4 linked regions of the Saccharomyces cerevisiae S288C genome follow. The protein of the gene in region 1 purifies or fractionates together with the protein of each later gene. This does not show direct contact. Each region holds a gene or a part of one and is shown in the gene's direction. Other genes may lie near its edges. The genes, in order: COP1, GLO3, SEC21 and RET3.

The links.
Region 2: the proteins of COP1 (region 1) and GLO3 purify together in Saccharomyces cerevisiae (affinity purification with mass spectrometry; 4 studies listed by BioGRID). This does not show direct contact.
Region 3: the proteins of COP1 (region 1) and SEC21 purify together in Saccharomyces cerevisiae (affinity purification with mass spectrometry; 8 studies listed by BioGRID). This does not show direct contact.
Region 4: the proteins of COP1 (region 1) and RET3 purify together in Saccharomyces cerevisiae (affinity purification with mass spectrometry, with the first as the bait; 5 studies listed by BioGRID). This does not show direct contact.

The regions. Positions count from the first base shown.
Region 1 is NC_001136.10:193,591-200,720, reverse strand, and holds COP1 (coatomer subunit alpha), read left to right. Parts: upstream 1-2,544; coding exon 2,545-6,150; downstream 6,151-7,130. Other genes in the region: chaperonin-containing T-complex subunit CCT4, read right to left, coding at 1-725; YDL144C (uncharacterized protein), read left to right, coding at 989-2,059; LDB17 (Ldb17p), read right to left, coding at 6,496-7,130. UniProt on the Saccharomyces cerevisiae protein: The coatomer is a cytosolic protein complex that binds to dilysine motifs and reversibly associates with Golgi non-clathrin-coated vesicles, which further mediate biosynthetic protein transport from the ER, via the Golgi up to the trans Golgi network.
Region 2 is NC_001137.3:401,683-406,679, reverse strand, and holds GLO3 (ADP-ribosylation factor GTPase-activating protein), read left to right. Parts: upstream 1-2,327; coding exon 2,328-3,809; downstream 3,810-4,997. Other genes in the region: casein kinase YCK3, read right to left, coding at 293-1,867; YER121W (uncharacterized protein), read right to left, coding at 3,961-4,305; phosphatidylinositol-binding protein SCS2, read right to left, coding at 4,811-4,997. UniProt on the Saccharomyces cerevisiae protein: GTPase-activating protein for the ADP ribosylation factor (ARF) family. Involved in retrograde vesicular transport from the Golgi to the endoplasmic reticulum.
Region 3 is NC_001146.8:89,809-95,863, forward strand, and holds SEC21 (coatomer subunit gamma), read left to right. Parts: upstream 1-2,185; coding exon 2,186-4,993; downstream 4,994-6,055. Other genes in the region: CCR4-NOT core subunit CAF40, read left to right, coding at 495-1,616; U2 snRNP complex subunit CUS2, read left to right, coding at 5,415-6,055. UniProt on the Saccharomyces cerevisiae protein: The coatomer is a cytosolic protein complex that binds to dilysine motifs and reversibly associates with Golgi non-clathrin-coated vesicles, which further mediate biosynthetic protein transport from the ER, via the Golgi up to the trans Golgi network.
Region 4 is NC_001148.4:532,949-536,603, forward strand, and holds RET3 (coatomer subunit zeta), read left to right. Parts: upstream 1-2,069; coding exon 2,070-2,639; downstream 2,640-3,655. Other genes in the region: mRNA-binding protein RRP12, read left to right, coding at 1-461; TAF3 (Taf3p), read right to left, coding at 694-1,755; RQC2 (Rqc2p), read right to left, coding at 2,872-3,655. UniProt on the Saccharomyces cerevisiae protein: The coatomer is a cytosolic protein complex that binds to dilysine motifs and reversibly associates with Golgi non-clathrin-coated vesicles, which further mediate biosynthetic protein transport from the ER, via the Golgi up to the trans Golgi network.

The DNA.
Region 1 (7,130 bases):
GATATTTGGAATTGAATTAACCCAATCTTTGCTTTTTCCTTTCTTGTCGGACCACCAGCAGATTTGATTGCCGTTTGTGTCAAGACCACACCATCTATCATTTCTGTGTCATCAATGGTACCACCAACTTTTTTGACCAGTCTGATATCGTTCAGGTCAACATTCTTAGAGTTTTCATCAGATATCTTCAATACGGAGTCCACTGCCAAGGGCGCCAAAAACGAAGAGTATTGAGACACAATCTTGGAACTCAAAGAAGTGGATGCAGCACGAACCAGCTGTTCTCTATCGCTCAACGAAACCTTATGGCACATTTCTAAAAGAATATCGACAGATCTCTTCGCAGCACTTTGAAAGGAGTCCGCAATGATGGTTGGATGGATGCCCTTGTTTAACAGCCTCTCAGCAGCACCCAATAGAGCTCCGGTCAAGATCACCACAGAAGTGGTACCATCACCGGCTTCCGAGTCCTGCGCGGCAGAAACCTCTACTAGCATTCTGGCCACCGGATGCAGAATGGCCATCTGTTTTAGAATGGTGTGGCCATCATTAGAGATGATGATTTCTCCACGAGATGTCTTAATCATCTTGTCCATACCCTTGGGACCCAATGAAGTACGGATGGCATCTGCAACAGAACGTGCAGCGATGATGTTGGCTTTGCGAACCTCTTGAGGTTTTTCCTTGTTCTTAAACGTGGCGTTAGATGGAACTTTAGCAGACATCGTTCTATACTCTCCTTTACCCGTCTTGCACACTTGCCGCACCTCCAATTACAATTCATAACCTTCATGCCCACTTAGCTATATCAACCTCTTGAACTGTATTCAATTAGCCTTTCTTGGTGGCGAAACGAAAAAAATTTCAGTTTCCCCGTGGCAAGTGATAGTAATACCAAATTATATAGCCTTAATTAGGACATATTGATATACCTCATAAACTACAGTCCCGGTGCCAGGATACAAGTTGGCATAAGCTAATGTCGAAAATGTCTAGAATACTAGTTATCGGGGCAGGTGGCGTTGGGGTCATTACTGCGCTTTCGTTGTGGCTTAAGAAGGAGAGCGACGTTTCCTTGGTAGTCAGATCTGACTACGATAGGGTATTGAAGCATGGCTACACAATCGAATCATGTGACTATGGCCGGTTAGAAGGTTGGAGACCCCACCATATTTACAGCAGCGTCGAGGACGCTGCTTCTGCCGCAGACAACCAAGGATACAACTATATTGTAGTGACTACCAAGAACATCATAGATGGGCCCGTTAATTCAAGGGTGTCCAACATCATCAGACCTGTGCTTGAGAAGAATAAAGAGCTACATGGGCCGCAATTGACGACACACATTTTACTGGTACAGAACGGAATCGATATTGAGAAGGAGATATGGGCGGAATTTCCCAGAGAGCAGTATCGTTACACGGTGCTTTCTGGCATCCAGTTAATCGGATCCACTAAGATCGGGTCAGGCCATATCAGTCAAGTGGGCCAGGACCACTTATCGTGTGGAGCTTTTGATCCACAGGACGCTGCTGCTATCCAGGCTGCCAACGACTTCGTCAGGATGTACAGCAACGAGGGGCAAAACTTTGTCGAATTTGACCCTAGGGTCCGTTACTCTCGGTGGAAGAAGTTGCTCTACAATGCAGCTATCAACACATCCACGGCACTTGTGGGGCTAGACGTTCCGCGTTGCCTGGAGTTTGGGGTTAACAAGAAGAGCACAGAAATTGAAGTGTTCCACCCTGCCATGAGGGAGATCATCGCCATTGCGGCGAGTGAAGGCATCATTATCGAAGAGGAGTTCATAACGATGTTTACAGAGATTACCAGGAAAAAGGTGTTCAAGCCATCCATGTGCGTGGACTGCGAGAAGGGCCAATTGATGGAGCTAGAAGTCATCCTAGGCAACCCCATAAGAATCGCGAAAAGAAACGGCGTCGCTACACCCACTCTTTCTATCTTATACAACCTACTTGTGCTAGTACAGGCCAAACTAAAGGAGCGGAAAGGCCTATTGAAGTTCGACGAAAAAACTGCCACTCTTGTGGACGAGTAGTTCCAACCATTGCTTGCCTCGTTGACGAGCCTTCATCTAGTATATTGTAACACATAATTTAGTATGTACTCTTAACTATTATTCTTATTGTCAGCATTTATACGACGTACAGAGCGACCGAAAATTTCGACAACACGAAACGAAATCGACAATTTGCCAACTTGAATAAATAACAGATCCGTCTTCGAGACTGTGACGATTGAGCCTCGATTCAGTAGCATACAGGGACCACAAACTTGTTTGAAGAGGCATTGCAATTAGGTAAATCATAGAATTGGCGAAACCAGCAGGATTTTCCAAACATTTGTTACTTACCCCCTTCTTTGCTTAAGATATAAAGTTTTTTCTTTTTATTTTATCTTCCCTTTACACTTTTGAATAAAAACATTATCATACCTGTTTACAAATTCGCGGTTTATTTAACCTGAAATCAGTATACTTTTTTTCTTCTGTAGTGTCTTTGTTCATTTCATTACTGGATCAAGATGAAGATGTTAACTAAATTTGAATCAAAGTCCACTAGGGCCAAGGGCATTGCCTTCCACCCCTCCAGACCTTGGGTTTTGGTGGCTTTGTTTTCCTCTACTATTCAATTATGGGATTACAGGATGGGAACACTACTTCACAGATTTGAAGACCACGAGGGCCCTGTTCGTGGGCTAGATTTCCATCCAACCCAACCGATTTTTGTTTCGGCAGGTGACGACTATACCATTAAAGTTTGGTCCTTAGATACTAACAAATGTCTATACACCTTAACTGGGCATTTGGATTATGTCCGTACCGTGTTTTTCCACCGTGAGCTGCCTTGGATCATATCTGCTTCTGATGACCAGACCATAAGAATCTGGAACTGGCAAAACCGTAAGGAAATTGCATGTTTGACCGGCCACAATCATTTTGTCATGTGTGCTCAATTTCATCCAACCGATGACCTGATCGTTTCCGCTTCTCTGGATGAAACCATCAGAATTTGGGATATTTCCGGTTTAAGGAAAAGACACTCCGCTCCTGGTACTAGTTCATTTGAGGAGCAAATGAGTGCACAACAAAATCTATTGGATGGCTCTCTTGGTGACTGTGTTGTCAAGTTTATTCTAGAGGGTCACACAAGAGGTGTCAACTGGGCCTCTTTCCATCCAACTTTACCATTGATTGTCTCCGGCAGTGACGACCGTCAAGTTAAATTATGGAGAATGAGTGCTACGAAAGCTTGGGAAGTTGATACTTGCAGAGGTCACACTAACAATGTTGATAGTGTTATCTTTCACCCACATCAAAACTTGATCATTTCTGTCGGTGAAGACAAAACGCTAAGGGTTTGGGATCTTGACAAGAGAACTCCAGTAAAGCAATTCAAAAGAGAAAACGATAGATTTTGGTTGATTGCAGCACATCCTCATATCAATCTATTTGGTGCAGCTCACGATTCTGGTATTATGGTTTTCAAGCTCGATCGCGAAAGACCATGCAGCTTTATCCATCAAAACCAGTTGTTTTTTGTCAATGCGGAAAAGCAAATCCAAAGTTTCAATTTCCAGAAAAGAGTCGCTTCATTACCTTATGCGTCCTTAAAGGGTATTGGTCAACCTTGGGATGCATTCAGAAGTATATCGTACAATCCCTCCCAACATTCAGTTTTGGTTAATGAAGCTAATGGCAAATTTGCTCTCGTTATTTTACCAAAACAACCAGTTGGAGCTGTGGAGCCAACAAGTGTCACCCAAGATACAGGTAATTTTGCTACTTTTGTTGGTCGTAATAGATTTGTTGTTTACAACAAGAACACTGAATCTGTTGAAGTTCGCTCTCTCGAAAACAAAGTTACAAGAAATATCAAAGTAGAGGAAACAGTAAGAACTATTGTAGCTGCAGGTCCTGGATCTGTTTTGGTCATACACCCCAGAGAAGTTATTCTTTATGATGTCCAACAGGGCAAAAAAGTATCCCAATTGGCTGTTAAAAACGTCAAGTACGTTTCGTGGTCCTTAGATGGTCAATATGTTGCATTGATGAGTAAGCACACCATAACTTTGGCTACCAAAAAGCTAGAATTGATTAATTCTATGCATGAAACGATTAGAATCAAAAGTGCCGCTTGGGATGAAACTGGTGTATTAATTTATTCAACTTTAAATCATATAAGGTACTCACTATTGAACGGGGATAGAGGTATTATTAAAACTTTGGAGAAAACTTTATATATCACAAAAGTTCAGGGAAAATTAGTGTACTGCTTGAACCGTGAAGGTGAGATTGAAATTTTAACCATTGATCCTACAGAATATCGCTTCAAAAAGGCCCTGGTTAACAAAAATTTCCCAGAAGTTTTACGTCTGATAAAAGATTCTAATTTGGTTGGCCAGAATATCATTTCCTATCTGCAGAAGTCAGGTTACCCAGAAATTGCTTTACAATTCGTTCAAGACCCACATATCCGTTTTGATTTAGCTTTGGAATACGGTAATTTGGATGTTGCCTTAGATGAAGCCAAAAAACTGAATGATTCTAGTACTTGGGAAAGATTAATCCAAGAAGCCTTGGCACAAGGTAATGCCAGCTTAGCTGAAATGATTTATCAAACTCAACATTCTTTTGACAAACTTTCCTTCCTGTATTTAGTTACAGGTGACGTTAACAAACTATCTAAAATGCAAAATATCGCTCAGACTCGTGAAGACTTTGGAAGTATGCTATTAAACACCTTTTACAACAATTCAACCAAGGAAAGATCTAGCATTTTTGCAGAGGGCGGCTCTTTACCATTAGCTTATGCCGTAGCAAAGGCTAACGGAGATGAAGCGGCTGCTTCTGCTTTCTTGGAGCAAGCTGAAGTTGATGAACAAGATGTTACTTTACCAGACCAGATGGATGCCTCCAACTTCGTTCAAAGACCAGTGATCTCAAAGCCACTTGAAAAATGGCCATTAAAAGAGGCTGAACTATCTTACTTTGAAAAGGCTGTTTTAGGTCAAATTGACGATTTGACTATAGACGATGAAACTCCAGCAGTAAACACCACTCAAGAGCAAGAAGAACCACTAGGCGAAGAAAACTTTAACGATGAGGATATTGGTGAAGACGAAGGTGCCTGGGATTTGGGTGACGAAGATTTGGATGTGGGAGAAGAGTTACCTGAAGAAGTTGAGCAAGGCGAAATTACCTCTCCAGCACAGGAAGTTGAAACAGCCATTTGGATCAAGAATTCTAAACTGCCTGCTGTCCTAGTTGCCGCTGGTGCCTTTGATGCCGCTGTTCAAGCCTTGAGCAAGCAAGTGGGTGTAGTCAAGCTGGAGCCATTGAAGAAATATTTTACCAACATTTATGAGGGTTGTAGAACATACATTCCTAGTACGCCCTGTGAACTTCCTGCTCAATTAGGTTATGTCAGAGCGTATGATGATACCGTAAGTGAAGATCAAATTCTTCCTTACGTGCCAGGTCTTGATGTCGTTAATGAAAAAATGAATGAGGGTTACAAAAACTTTAAACTAAACAAACCAGATATTGCAATCGAATGCTTCAGAGAAGCTATCTACCGTATTACGCTATTAATGGTCGATGATGCTGAAGATGAAAAATTAGCACACAAGATACTGGAAACTGCTAGGGAGTATATATTAGGTTTATCCATTGAATTGGAACGCCGCTCATTAAAGGAGGGAAATACTGTACGCATGCTTGAGCTAGCTGCATACTTTACAAAGGCAAAACTATCCCCAATTCATCGTACCAATGCTTTACAAGTGGCTATGTCCCAACATTTCAAACACAAAAATTTCTTACAGGCCTCATATTTTGCCGGTGAATTTTTAAAGATTATTTCTTCTGGTCCTCGTGCAGAACAAGCACGTAAAATCAAAAACAAAGCCGACTCAATGGCCAGTGACGCCATTCCAATTGACTTTGATCCTTATGCTAAATTCGATATTTGTGCAGCCACCTACAAACCAATTTATGAAGATACACCTTCCGTTTCTGACCCATTAACAGGTAGTAAATACGTTATCACGGAAAAAGATAAAATAGATAGAATTGCTATGATTTCTAAGATCGGTGCACCTGCATCCGGATTAAGAATACGTGTATAAATGCTATTTTGCCTATTGATTTTCTCGGGATTGTATTCTGCTCGACCTAAATTTCATGTGACAAGTCCTTTTAATCTAAACAATATGATAGTGAAAAAAAAAAACTGACTATGTAATTAACAGTTATATACAACTTCTAAAATAAAAAATATCGCCTATTTTAACAAGTGACACACAACCTGAAATTCTGCCAGCATGTATTCGGAAGCAACCCGAACTTTAGTTTTATAGTTACGATTGTTGCATTTGTATATAAAAAGTACAATGTGTCATTAGATACTGCAGTGAGTAGAAGAAGAAATGGTCGGAAGAACCACATTAATGCAAGAAGAAATAATGCTTTACTTATTTTGGAGTTCCACATTTTCTTGATGGAGGAGGAGGAGGAGGCGGAGGCGGAGCTTTAGCCTTTCTTTTAGTCAAAGATTCTGCAGAAACATCTAATTCACGATTACTATAAAGATGGCCTTTACGAGCCAAGATATTTTGATTGTCGGGCGTCCCCAATGCAACAATGCTAGAGTTTCTACTAGTGTTATTACTAGAGACCGATGAACCTCCATCTGAAGGCGTTGAAGGTGTCTCTAACCAAGGAATTTGTTGAAGACACTTCCGAGATAAGGCCACTGTAACTTGATGCTCGTGCAACGCTGGACTGTCAACGCATATATTATCTAAAGTCGACAAGTAGTTTAATAGTTTATTCAAATCATCCTTTCTATAATGTGTTTTGGATAATTGTGTATTCTTTAATAGCGGAATCAGAACCCTTAGAAGGGTGTTTCTCAATACCTCTTCATCCTCACTGATATTCTGTAGTTCTCTGATTAATACATCGATAAGAACACGTAAGTCGTTTGTATAAAAGAAATTCATCGGAGAGTAGTCTCCTCTTGGTGTCAAGATAAGATAAATAATTTTGCACATCATAATTTGTAACGGAGGGTCCGATGCCCTATTGAATTTCAGTAATAATAGCT
Region 2 (4,997 bases), on another chromosome or scaffold:
TAGCACACCAAAAACATACCGGGATTAATATATATGTGCGTGTAGTCTTTTGATAAAGGAATATACAGAAGGAAAACGATTACGATGCTGACTATGTCTCATTTTCTTCTTTTTCCTGTTTCTTTACCCTCTCCGGAATTCAATTATTGTAGATGATAAAATAAAGGGTAACAGAGAGAAAGAGAAACAAAATAATACATTATTGGAAAGTCATAAATTGGGAAAGAGCGGCATAAGGAAACAGCCAATCAAAAAAAAAAAGGAAAAAGAGAAAAGTATAAAAATCGCTTTATCAACAGCAACAAAAACAGCAACAACAATATTTGTATATTTTAGAACAAAATGTATCATTCTCGTCATCAGAATAAGCATCATTTTCTTGTTCGTAATTTCGTTGACTTTGATAATTGATATTCTTATTTGCAAGGTTTGTGTAGTGGTTTGGTAAGTTGTGCTCATTATTACTTCTTTTAGGGTTAGCTTTAGAACTTGAATATGGTACAAATGGTGAATTTTGTGTATGACTGATGGAGTCGTACGTTTGACTTTGACTTTTAATTGGCCGTTGAAGATTTGAATGTGTTTCAGGAATATATTTACTATTGGGTTCGATTTTTTTCAAGACGTGTTGTTGTTTAGTAAAGCTCTGCGGGTTCGAAGAAATTCTGGATTTCGAATTGTCCTTGTTATAACTGTTTTGAGCTTGTTGCTTAGGTGTCGCAACTGGCGTTGTATTTCGTGTCTTTGAATTCGTATTCACATTGTTTCTTGCAGTATTGCCATTGACTCTTGGATTTGGATTTCCGTAACCATGCAAGTTAGCTCTTCTATTAATCTTGATATTCCAGCCTTTACCACCATTCAAATCCATCCAGTCATAGTGTCCATCATCCTTTAAGTCGTTTAATCTCAAAGCGTCATCCATTAACGAGATTAAATAGTCATAATCCGGATCTTCGTCGAACTTCAAGGAACGTGCATATTTTAAATATGTGGCAAACTGATAAGGAATAGCATTATTCAATAAAAGATCATCAGGATTCAATTTCTGTTTAGTCATACCAATCTTTTCATACTTCAGTTTGTTGTTTGGTGCTTTCAAACCTTGCCATGGCAAGGATCCCCTCAAGAAATAAAAAAAAACGTGACCTAGCGATTCTAAATCATCCCTACGTGACTGTTCTCTTCCAAAATGAGTATTAATAGACATATATCTGGCGGTACCGCTCAATGATTTTCGTTCACGGTATGGTATATGTTGTTTCGTTCTTGGATCTCTATATTGTTTTGCCATACCAAAGTCAACCATGTATATTAAATTGGGATCATTATTAGAAGAGGAGGCACATGATTTAATGACTTTTCCTTCAGGTGAAATTCTTTGATATTGAGAAATTAAAAAGTTATCGGGTTTAATATCGCGATAGATTAAGTCGTGATCATGAATTGCTCTAACTCTATCAATCATTTGCTTGGCAACCATACAGGTTGTTTTCACTGAAAATTTTCTACCACACCACTCAAAGAGATCTTCCAATGATGGCCCTAGTAAATCGATAATCAAGATGTTGTGCATACCTTCTTGACCAAAATAATAAGCATGGGGAATTCCAACGCAGCCATTCAATATCCTATAGGCTCTAAATTCGTCACGCAACTGGGGTGCGTCCGAATGTCGCGGTTCGAATTTAATTGCGACTGGCTCGTTCGCCATTATTATACTAGAGTCCCTCTTGCTACCGGTCTGCGCTTGACAAGAATGAAGAATGTTCTCTCCCTCAAATATTACTCCGAAAGACCCTTCGCCAATCTTAGGTCCTACAGCATAATGAATACCTACAATGTGTTGTGAAGATCGTTGGGACATCTTTCCTTATCGTCCTTTTACACTTTTTCTTCAGAATGAGATACCACTTTTGATTAGTGGACCGTAGCACGTATACCCTTAAATAGCAGACAATTCTTGCAAAACGGATTTCCTTCTTTTTTAAAAAACAGCAAATAATACCAGTACCTAGATGTTACGAATGCTGTTCCCCTGTTACTCTCTAAGCTGCCCTTTTCAATTCACCTATAGAATGTTTAAAATTTTACTTTCAATATTGGTATTATCTATGACACAAAAGGAAAAGTAACATCGTTTGGTCATTTTCGACGACACGGTAAAGTTTCGAAAAAAAAAAAAAAAAAAGAAAACAACTATTCTTCGTAAACACGATTTAGCTGGCATTTTATAAAAGGAGATCAAGGCGATAGCAAAGAAAGGGTATTTGTTAAGTACTTGTTGATCCGGTCTTCTTGAGCAATTTAGTATACACATAGCGACAATGAGTAACGATGAAGGAGAAACATTTGCCACGGAACAGACTACTCAACAAGTTTTTCAGAAGCTAGGTAGCAACATGGAAAATCGAGTTTGTTTTGATTGTGGTAACAAGAATCCTACTTGGACTTCGGTACCTTTTGGTGTGATGCTGTGTATTCAATGCTCTGCTGTGCATAGAAACATGGGTGTTCATATCACCTTTGTAAAGTCTTCTACATTAGATAAATGGACAATTAACAATTTAAGAAGGTTTAAGTTGGGTGGGAACCATAAGGCTCGTGATTTTTTCTTAAAGAACAATGGGAAACAGCTACTAAATACAGCAAATGTTGACGCGAAAACAAAATATACGAGCCCTGTTGCTAAGAAATATAAGATACATCTCGACAAGAAGGTTCAAAAGGATATGGAGTTATACCCATCAGAATTAGTCTTGAACGGTCAAGATTCTTCGGACTCACCGTTGGACACCGATTCAGACGCTTCCAGGTCGACTTCCAAAGAAAATAGTGTTGACGATTTTTTCTCTAATTGGCAAAAACCAAGCTCCAATTCCAGTTCTAAACTCAATGTAAATACAGGCTCTCTCGCCCCAAAAAACAACACCACAGGCAGCACACCCAAGACCACTGTCACTAAAACGAGAAGTTCCATCTTAACGGCTAGCAGAAAGAAACCGGTATTAAACTCGCAAGATAAAAAGAAACATTCAATTTTGTCTTCGTCAAGAAAGCCCACTAGACTAACCGCAAAGAAAGTCGACAAATCACAGGCAGAAGACTTGTTTGATCAATTTAAAAAAGAGGCTCAACAAGAAAAGGAGGACGAGTTCACTAATTCGTCTTCTAGCACCAAAATTAGACAAAATGATTACGATTCCCAATTTATGAATAACAGTAAAGGCAACAATAATAACAGTATAGATGATATTAATACCCAGCCTGATGAATTCAATGATTTTTTAAATGACACTTCAAACAGCTTCGACACAACTAGAAAAGAACAGCAAGATACTTTAACACCCAAGTTTGCCAAATTGGGATTTGGTATGACCATGAATGACGCCAATGATTTGGCAAAGCAACAAAAAGAATCTCAGAAAATAGCTCAGGGACCAAGATATACGGGCAGAATCGCGGAAAGGTACGGCACACAAAAAGCTATATCATCTGATCAATTATTTGGTCGTGGCTCATTTGATGAAGCAGCAAACAGGGAAGCGCATGACAAGTTGAAAACATTTGACAATGCTACATCAATTTCCTCTTCTTCATACTTTGGAGAAGATAAAGAAGTGGATGAATTTGGTAATCCCATCAATAGTAGTGGAAGTGGAGCAGGGAATTTTGATGGCCGTAATTCTAATAACGGTTTCATCGATTTTAATGCCTCCGCAGATGATGAATTGCAGATGTTGAGAGACGTTGTAGAACAGGGTGCTGAAAAACTCGGTAGTTATTTAAGGGACTACTTAAGAAAATAAGTTTAATTTTCTCTTTAATTGAATTTTTTTTTTTTCATTGTTATCATTGTTTTTTATTCTCATTTTTCATTATATGATAATTATATTTATGGTACATAGAAACGGTTGTATATGCATTGTACGTGCGTTTATTCTTATTCTTCATCCCCCCTTATCTTAGTTTAAGGTTTCTAAAATCGAAAGTTTCATGTGCGTATGAAGCGGTTGAAAATGCAGACGAGGTAGCATTTGGTTCATTAGCATTATAAACACTTTGCTTTAAAGAAGGTAAGTTATTTTCGACATCTCTGTTTCTAATTGCTTCATCGTCCACATAGGGAGAGTCTATACCCACTTTCCAAAACGAGTTCATTACTTGATTACCATATTCGTTAGAAACACTTGCATTTAAACTATCACTTGCCGCAAGGGCGTAGTAGTGCGCATCCTGTTGCATTTCTTCGCTCTTTTCCTCTGCTGGCCTTGAATTCTTGTCGTGCCAGCGCGATAAGCCCATGTTACTATATTGTCAATATGTGAGTCCCTCGTTCACTATGAGACCTAGCAAAAAACAAACTGAAAGTAGGTGGCTGTTTATGTATTCATTTATTTATGGACCTTTTAGGCGCGACCCCCTCGCAAGATCTTCGTTAATGTGCATCCAAGACCCTCCCCTCATTTAGTAGACCCCGCATTGTTATGGTTAATAACGGATAGTTATTTGCCCAAGATAGCGCCTACTACACTAGGGAAACCGAACATGAATAAATTAAACAAGTAATATGTTACAACAGTGGTATAGTTATCGATTATTCTCCTATTTAAAAAATAAAACATATAAAAAAGTTAGGAAAGTATGATCTTTTAGTTCCTTGTTCTAGTATTGTAAAGGCTACAGAAGGAAACAATAAAAAAAGATTGTAGAAAAACAAAGTAAAATAAAGACTGAAAGGAAGGAAAGGGCAAAACACACACATATATAAATATATATTTAGAATACAGCTATATCCTCAATCTCCCTATTATCTGTAGAACCATCCTAAAACCAAGATAAGGAGTGCAACCAATATGAATATACCCATGCTGGATGATTCATTTTCTGCAGGTACGGTTGCGGCTTCCTTTATCTGGTTCTGTGGGGCCGGAGTGCTGTTGGACGTTTGCTTCTCATTTTCATGAGGAACGGTTTTCTGAACGACAGGTGGGACC
Region 3 (6,055 bases), on another chromosome or scaffold:
AAGTAGCAATACTATTGTAAAAGTACTACTATTTCCCTGTATCATACGCTTTTACTACTATTCCTCACATAAAGCGAGATGCTTACAGAATGCATAAGAGAGAGAAGAAAACCCTATTACGCCCACTTGTCTATATTAGATTACTGTCCCTATTTATATCATCATTGCAAAACGTGAGCACCTCATTAGACGTAGATTCTTGCATAAGTATTACTAGCAGGAGAGGAAAAACTCCACCCACACACCTCAACATGCTGAGAATTTTGCTGCGAGCAGCAAGAGGCAAAATCCAAATTTAAAGTAATTTACGCATAGAAGACATTGTAAAGGGATTGCAAAGACGTAGAGTACGCAAGTTAGAAACCGTTCATCTTTTAAAACTCCCAAGTTTTGACAAATTTGCGAGTGTGTGTGTTTCTGCTGATCTTGACGAGATTAAACTTTGTTCCTGAAGCAACAACGACAGCAACTGAACATCCTCTGAATAAGTTAATATGTTTTCCGCTCAAAAGCCAATATATGGCAATGGAGCAGGCGTGAACATGGGTGGTGGTGGTCCTTCAACTAATAATCCAGGATCTATGTCCATGCCTGGGGTTCCAACTTCAATGGGTCCAGGCATGAATCAACAAATTCCAAGTGGAGGCCCCATGCTAATGGGCAATACTCCGAATAATAATAATAGCAATGAAAATGGCGAGAACAACGGCAATAACGGCAATAACGGCGGTAACGATGCTAACGCAACTCGAAACAATCCCAACATGGTCAATAATAGAGGCGCAGTGCATGCTCTAGATGATCCCAATGTATACCACTGGATTTGTCAATTGACCTACGGCCCTCAAAAGGAACAAGCACTGCTTGAATTAGGTCGCAAAAGAGAACAGTTTGATGACCTTGCCGTTGTGCTTTGGTCTTCCTTTGGTGTAATGACCTCATTGCTGAACGAAATCATTTCCGTATATCCCATGCTGCAACCTCAGATGCTCTCTAACAATCTATCAAATCGTGTATGCAACGCTCTAGTTCTTCTACAGTGTGTTGCATCTCACCCAGAGACAAAACATCTCTTTTTACAGGCCCATATTCCTCTCTTTCTTTTCCCCTTCCTAAATACTACCTCCAGGCAAAGAACTTTTGAGTACTTGAGATTGACTTCATTAGGTGTGATAGGCGCATTGGTCAAAAATGACTCACAAGACGTAATAACGTTTTTGCTAAGAACCGATATCGTGCCGTTATGCCTAAGGATCATGGAATCTTCTTCTGAGCTTTCCAAGACAGTCGCCATTTTCATTTTACAGAAAATCCTACTAGATGACGTTGGATTGCAATACATCTGTGCCACCTTGGAAAGGTTCTACGCCGTAACTAATGTCTTAAAAGATATGGTTGAGCACTTGACCGTGAGCACACCACCGGGACGACTACTGAAACATATCATTAGATGCTACTTAAGATTAAGCGACGATCTCGAAGCACGCAGGCTATTGAAAATAGTCTTACCTGCCAAACTGAGAGATAACACTTTTACGGAAGTACTAAGAGACGACGTCGGGTCCAAGAGATGTCTGGCACAATTGCTACTGACATTAAACGAAGAAACCTCATGATGCATCCCCATAGATATATTACTGTTTTTCTCTTTCTATTTTCCTGTATTGTTTTAACCTTGCCTTTTTGTTTTAGTTTCACTTCCTCACCTCTCCTAATTTTGTATAGTTATATTTATATGCATGAAATGTATAAAGTCCACTCATATTTCAGAATGGTTTAAGTTAAGTGCCAGAAGGTTCTTCTGTACTATTACTATTACCCATTTTTCATCCTATCACCCGGAATGTACCCCTTGTGTCATTCACTACGACGCCACGAACCACGATTCTATTTTTTTCGAAATCTAAAGGTTTCGTCAAGATCAATGAAATATACATAGGCGTTTTTTTGGATACGAGTTGCATTGTTGAGAACACAATTCTTTACAAATAAGTGCAAGGGAGGAATTGTGTGTGCTCATTACCAACGTACTTCTTCAGTTATTCTGCTAAACCCGTTTTTTTGTTCTTAGCTTCATCCAGGTGAGCCCGCAAACATTACAGAACGACGTATAATACAAAATAACTAAACAAATACGGATAGGACAAAAGCCAAGAAGCGATACTAAATCACAGAGCGAATCAACATGTCTGCACATACTTACAAAAAGTTTGAAAACTCGACCTCGGGCGATTTACCTGATAAAATGACCATTTATCAGGATTGTATGAACACGTTTAACGAATCACCTGTCAATTCCAAGAGATGTCGTTTATTGATTTCTCGCTTGCTGAGACTCTTGGCCCAGGGCGAAACCTTCCCACAGAATGAAGCAACTGCATTATTTTTCTCTATCTCCAAATTATTTCAACACCAGAACGATCCTTTAAGGCAGGCTGTTTATTTGGCAATCAAGGAATTGAGTGGCATTTCGGAGGATGTGTTGATGGCAACCTCTTCAATCATGAAGGACGTTCAAAACGGTTCCGATTTGATTAAGCCTGACGCTATTAGATCGCTGACTTATGTCTTGGATGAATCTACTGCTTTTTCCGCTGAAAGGTTATTAAAAAGTGCCGTGGTAAGTAGACATCCTTCAATATCCTCAGCAGCATTATGTACTTCTTATCATTTGCTGCCCATTTCAGAAGTCACTATCAGAAGATTCACCAATGAAACTCAAGAAGCTGTTTTGGATTTGAAACAATTTCCAAATCAACACGGTAATAGCGAATATTATCCAAACTCCACTTATATTTCTCAATATCATGCTCTTGGGTTGCTTTATCAACTGAAGAAAACTGATAAAATGGCGTTACTAAAATTGGTTAGACATTTCTCTGAAAACAATTCTATGAAAAATCAATTGGCCAAGGTAGAATTGGTCAAGATTGTCAACGATTTGATTTATAGGGATCCTCAATTATTTAGTCAATTCAGGCCACTTTTGTCTGATTGGCTATCCAACAAGTTCGAATCTGTTCAGTTGGAAACGGCGAAATTGATTACTTCTTTCGCTACTCGCAATTCCCGCTTAGTGGCTCCCGAGTTATATGCGGCAGCTATCAGTGCTTTACAGTCCTTACTGACCGTTCCTCGTGTTTCTTCTAGATTCGCTGCATTGAGAATCTTAAATAGAATATCCATGGTTTCACCAGAAAAGATTGTTGTTTGTAATCCTGAACTAGAATCTTTAATTAATGATTCTAATAGAAACATTTCTACTTATGCAATCACCACTTTATTGAAGACAGGAACTTCCAAAAATATTTCATCTCTGATTTCGACTATTACTAATTTTATCCATGATGTCAGTGATGACTTTAAGATCATTATTATTGACGCCGTTCGTACGTTGTCTTTGAACTTCCCACAGGAATGGAAGTCAATTTTGAACTTCTTAATCGATGTTTTGAAAAATAGTGAAGGTGGATTCAAATTTAAAAACAGTATTGTCGAAGCATTAATCGATATTGTTTCATTTGTTCCACAGTCTAAAGAACTCGCCTTAGAAAACTTGTGTGATTTCATCGAGGATTGTGAATTCAACGAAATACTAGTGAGAATACTACATCTTTTGGGTAAAGAAGGTCCATCTGCCCCAAATCCATCATTATATGTTAGACATATTTATAACAGAGTGGTGTTGGAAAATTCTATTATTAGATCTGCTGCCGTTGTAGCTTTATCTAAGTTTGCTTTGACGAAGAACGATCCTACCTTATATGAGTCAATCATAAGTTTGTTAAAGAGAATCGCTAATGATAAAGACGATGAAGTCAGAGACAGAGCCACCATTGCACTAGAATTCATTGATTCGGCTAGGAATAAAGATGATGTTATAGCACAAAATCTAATCGAATCCAAATATTTTTACGATATTCCATCATTAGAGTCAAAATTAAGTTCTTACATTTCCTCAAATACTGATTCATTTGCAACTGCATTTGATGTGAATCAAGTTCGTAAGTTTACTGAGGATGAAATGAAGGCAATAAATCTGAAGAGAAAGCAAGAACAAATTTTCAATCAAAAGTCTGAAACCACTTTGGATACTACACCAGAGGCAGAGAGTGTTCCAGAAAAAAGAGCTGACGCTAATTCATTTGCTGGTCCAAACTTGGACGACCACCAAGAAGATCTACTAGCTACTAAGTACGCTGACGAATTGCTATCCATTGAACAAATTAAACCATTTGGTCAATTAGTAAATAGTTCTAGGGCTATCTCATTAACTGAGCCAGAAGCAGAATTCGTTGTACGTGGTGTCAAACATCTCTTCAAAGACAATGTTGTTTTACAATTTAATATTACGAATACTCTGACGGATATTGCCCTAGACAATGTTTCTGTAGTCTGTACCCCTGAAATTTCTGATGAAGCTGAATTAGAAGAGCTATTCACCCTACAAGTGGACAGATTATTACCATCCGAGGAAGCAGCTTGTTACGTTGCATTCAAAAAACTTGATGAAATTGTAATGGAAGGTTTCTTGAACAACTTAACATTCACTACAAAAGAAATAAACCCTGACACTAATGAGCCATTTGATGGTGATGAAGGTTTCCAAGATGAATATGAAATTGACTCGATTTTCTTGAATGCTGGTGATTATGTTAAGAGTTCTTTCACTGGTAACTTCTCCGCTACATTTGATGAGTTGCCATGCGAAGAAGTTGCTGTTTTCAACATTCAAGAAGATTTATCCATACAAGAAGTAGTAGATAAGATTATTTTGAACAGTAGCTGCTTACCGGTGGAAAGTACCCAATTTGCTCCAAGTGATTCAAACTCCCACACCTTGAAATTATTTGGTAAGAGTGCTTTAACTGGATCTAAAGTAGCCCTACAGATTAAGATGATCAAGAGTTCGAAAGGTCTTGCTTTGAAAGTTCATGGTAAAGGTGAAGACAGCTTATTATGCTCTGATCTGGTGAATGGTCTAATGCAGTAAGCTGTGAAATTTTATTTCAGTTAATCCCTTCTTTTGTTATCAATAGTATTAAAAGAAATGCGTCAGCTTTAGCAAGCGTGCATGCAAATAAGGGAATGAACAGCAAGAACAATAATAAACCAAAAAAATCACGGATAGAATATGACGGATCATCACCACACGAAGAATAAATTATGTAATCTTTGTATAAACAAAATTTTTAAAGAAAAATACTATAATAGTTTGACAAGAGAAAACGAAATGGAAGAAACAGGACAACAGGGCAGAAAAAAGTTGACATTATGCAATTGATGAAAGAAGAAGAAGAAAAAAAACAAAAAAAAAGCACTAGTCTGACCAGGCATATTGTAAAAGGCTGCAGACCCTTGAACGCACTACACTTTTCACTGTATTCCGTTACCAACATTACTGTTTGACAGCGATGGATGCTGATGAATTGGAATTGAAAGGTCATTTGAAAAAATTGAAAAAAGAAGAATTGCTTAGAAGGAAACAGTTAAAAGAGAGTAATCTTCAGAAAAGAGAGCTTGAATATAATAATGCCTCAAAAAATACTTCAATATATATTTCTGGTCTTCCCACAGACAAAACAACGAAAGAAGGACTCACTGAGCAGTTTTGCAAGTATGGAATGATAAGAACCAATCGAGATGGGGAACCCCTTTGCAAGCTATATGTGAATGATAAAGGCGCTTTCAAAGGGGATGCCTTGATCACTTATTCCAAGGAAGAAAGTGTTACATTAGCAATCGAAATGATGAACGAGTCGATCTTCCTGGGAAAACAGATCAGGGTCGAAAGAGCCCAATTTCAAAACAAGGAAGGTGACAATATGCACGGGAAAGAAAATGATTTAAAGGAGTTCAACGGACCTGAGCCTCCAATAAAGAGGCTAAAAAAAGCGAAGTCTGAAGGGGAGGGGGAAGTAATAGATTACAATGACGATGAAAGCCTAGCAAAAGCTGATCGAACGGTGATATTTGCCAACGTATTCAATATTTACAAATCATACACAAATGATGATATAAATGATATTCAGGAAGATCTTTTGGAAGGCTGTGA
Region 4 (3,655 bases), on another chromosome or scaffold:
GCAAAATGAAGAATGGGGCAAAGCAATTTATTGTAGAATCCGGTGACAACCCACTAGATTTGTTAGATTCTCAAACACTAGCTCATATATCATCTACCAGACCAAAGAAATTCAATAAGAATCAAAATAGAGCAAGGTTTAATGATGATGCGTTTAACTTTGACTCAGAAGGAAAACTCGTTGTCAAGGGGCAACCTAAACCCTCTACTAATGTAGACGATCCATTGAGTGCTGTGACAAGCGGAATCAATGCGTATCTAGAGGCTGTGAAAAGTGGTCCTGTAAGAGGTCAAAGAAACAAGCTGAAATTCAGGAAAAATGGAAAGGACTCTGATGAATTTGGCGATGATGATGATGGTGAAAAGGATAGTAGGCTAATGAGAGGAAGAGTAAATCAAGGTAACAAGATTGGCAAACATAATAAGAAAGGTCCAAAGTTCAAATCTAGAAAAAAATTATAGAAGATTGAAACTGAGCAATATGGCTAATTACACACCTGGAGAAAAAATCAGATATGTATATATAAGAATATTATAATACTGTATATTAAAAATGATTAAAATAAAGAAAAAAATGAATCGGGCGTTTAATTGCTTATTATCTTGAAGAAGCGAAAGTACACTATATAGTAATAATGTGAGGTTAATTAAATATGGATGAGATAATGACGAAAGAAAATGCAGAAATGTCGTTTTAAAAGTAACCCCCATAATCTAGTGAGGTTCGACGTTGAAATGTGCTGTCCATATCTTCCTGCTCTGCCCATTTAGTATCAACATTTGAGTCGAATTGAAACATTGATATGTCACGGTCATCACCATGAGGAGACTCTGTTAAACTTTTATTGTTCTCTTTAAAACTTTCCTCATTGTTATTTTCTTGAGACTTTTGGTTAGGGCCTTCCACTTCGCCAAGTGATTCAAGCTCCTCATCCTCAAATGAAAGAGTTATATTTTCTAACCTATTTTCTTTTCTCATTATCGGCAGTTTGCTAGTTACAAATGGATTTTCTTGGATCTCTGTTAAGGCATCCTCATCTCTTGGGGTCATCGCCGAAGGCATCCTATCTTCGTTTGTTATGGTAGTGTGGTGATGGCGGCTTAGAATGGAAGATTTATAGCCTGCAATATGTGGTAAAGCCGGTACATTTTGAGATTCTTTTTTGGAAGCTCTTTCAATCATGTTTATACGTTGTCTAGCAATGACTAATTTGATCCAATCATCTAATCCATTATTATTTATTAGATCTTCTATCAACTCTGTTTTTCTATTCTTTGTTTCTAATTTCTGTTTCGCACCCTTGTTTTGCAGTAATTGATTGAGATAGTCAGGTATTGCTGACAAAGGATCAGATTCTTTTTCCTCACTTTGTAGTAATTCTACTGTGGGTAAGGCAGTTATTCGCGCGTCGGTCAATTGAGTACTATAAATACACCAGTCCTTGAACTTTTCCATTCCTCGTGAACTTGATAATTCGGAGTTTTCATCATAGACATCCAGAACGTTCGTAGGCTTAACAATACCTAGATTTTCCAGAGCCAGAGTTATATCTTGTAAAGCAATTGTATCGTCCTGATCACATCTTGCCTGAGCGATAGAACTGACCTCTGATGCTAACAAACTCAAGAATTTTGCATAGAGATCGGTCATGACATCCACCAGACTGGGCCTTGCCCTGTCAAATCCTTGTGCCTTCAATAATTGGAGAATAGATATGCGTAGTAGAGCAAAATAGAAGTCATTATTTGTAGTCATAGCAGAGGAACTCTATTGACCCAAAGATATCGCTGTTTTCCGCTAGTAGGTGATTTGGAATTGCTCAGGAAGCTACTTCAAGTGTTATATTAGCATACCTTCATCATGCAATATGAAATTACTGAAAAAAAAAACTAAAGCATCGCGAGCTTACCCGTTTCGCCACTTCTGTCAAGTGAAAAAACACGTTTGCATTGTTTAGGCTACAAGGTGTGGAATATCGAAGTTATTGCTAGACAGAAGTTCTTTAGGCATTTAGGTTTTGTTTGTGAGCTGGCTTGCTAATTTTGAGTACTGTGCATCATTGTTCCAGGATGTCTTCTTTATCGCTATATACTGTTCAGGCTGTTTTAATACTAGATCAGCAAGGAGAACGAATTTATGCAAAGTATTATCAACCTCCTCATAGATCTGATGAAGGACACCAATTGCTCTTCAATTCGGTGAAGAAGCAAAAAGAGTTTGAGAAACAACTATACCGTAAGACTCACAAGCAAGATTCGGAGATTTTAATCTTCGAGGATCATTTAGTCCTTTACAAAGAATACATTGATATCACGATATATTTAGTTGCTTCGCTGGAAGAGAATGAAATTGTTCTTCAGCAAGGATTTTCAGCAATCAGAGGAGCTTTGGATTTGATTTTGAACTCAGGAATGGACAAAAAAAACATCCAAGAAAACTATGATATGGTTTTATTAGCTATTGATGAAACCATTGATAATGGTGTTATCCTCGAAACTGACTCTAACACTATTGCATCCAGAGTTTCTAAACCACCTACGAACGAACCCCAAATGGCATTAGATTTGGATAAGGGTTTCTTAGGCGCGTGGGGTTTCGCAAAGAGCAAGTTTCAAGAAAGGTTACAGCAAGGCTTATGATCACAAGGCAAAGCGGATAGAAGAAAATTTTAGCTGGTCTTATATGGTATATATGCAGTGTCTTACTTTCTCCCTTCCATATATATGTATCTACTTATATATATAAGTATATGTTGCTCATTTAGAAATGATTGTCACCTCATGCTAATCATTTTATTCTTCTCGTTGGTCTGTGATGAAAAATAATGAAAAAATTATAATTGCTGTCTATTTTCTTTTCATCTCATATGATTTAGCGTTTTTTTTTGCCCTTCTTCGAAGAGTTACCACCGTTCTTGGTGGATTTCTGCCCAGCGATTGTTACTTTTAACTTGTCGACACAGAGCAGAAGAACCAAGTCCTGTTCCTTCAAGCCTTTAATCATTTCATGTTCTTGGGGCCAATCCATTTCGTTGTCAGTTGAAGAACCGTCTAGTGGTCTACTCTTGAAATAATGTAAAATTTCAGTTAAAGTCTTAGTTTTCTTCGCACTTCCCGGTTGTATTTTGACTTTGTATTTATATTTCAAAAGCGCAGGCCAGGGGGCAAATACTGGTATAATATCATCAACCACATCGCCCTTATCGAGAGATGGTTTTAATTCGGACTTGTGTTTATCATAGTTCACTCTTGCTTTCTCTTTTTTGGTGAATTTTAAAGCCTGTAGTCTTCTTTGTTTCTCGCGTTTATTCTTTCTATCTTCTCTAACTTCTCGCTTCATTATTTCTTCTTTCTTCCTTTGTTGCTGCTTTTCGATACCCTTCAAAGTACCCAAGGCCTCCAAACGCAAGAGACGTTCAGTTTCATCCTGGTCGGCGTATTTCTTTTGAATTTTCTTCAATTTTCCTCTTTTACCACGGACGTTACTGTTTATGTTTTCGATTAAAGATATCGGAACACCTGGTTCATCAAGGATACGCTGCGTACTGCTATTGTCATTTTTGGCTTTAGCATTTCCAGAATCAGAGTCGGTATCGGATGATATGGTGCAATGCTTTTCGATGTCTTTTTCAAGATTATCGTGTTCAAAACTGTTG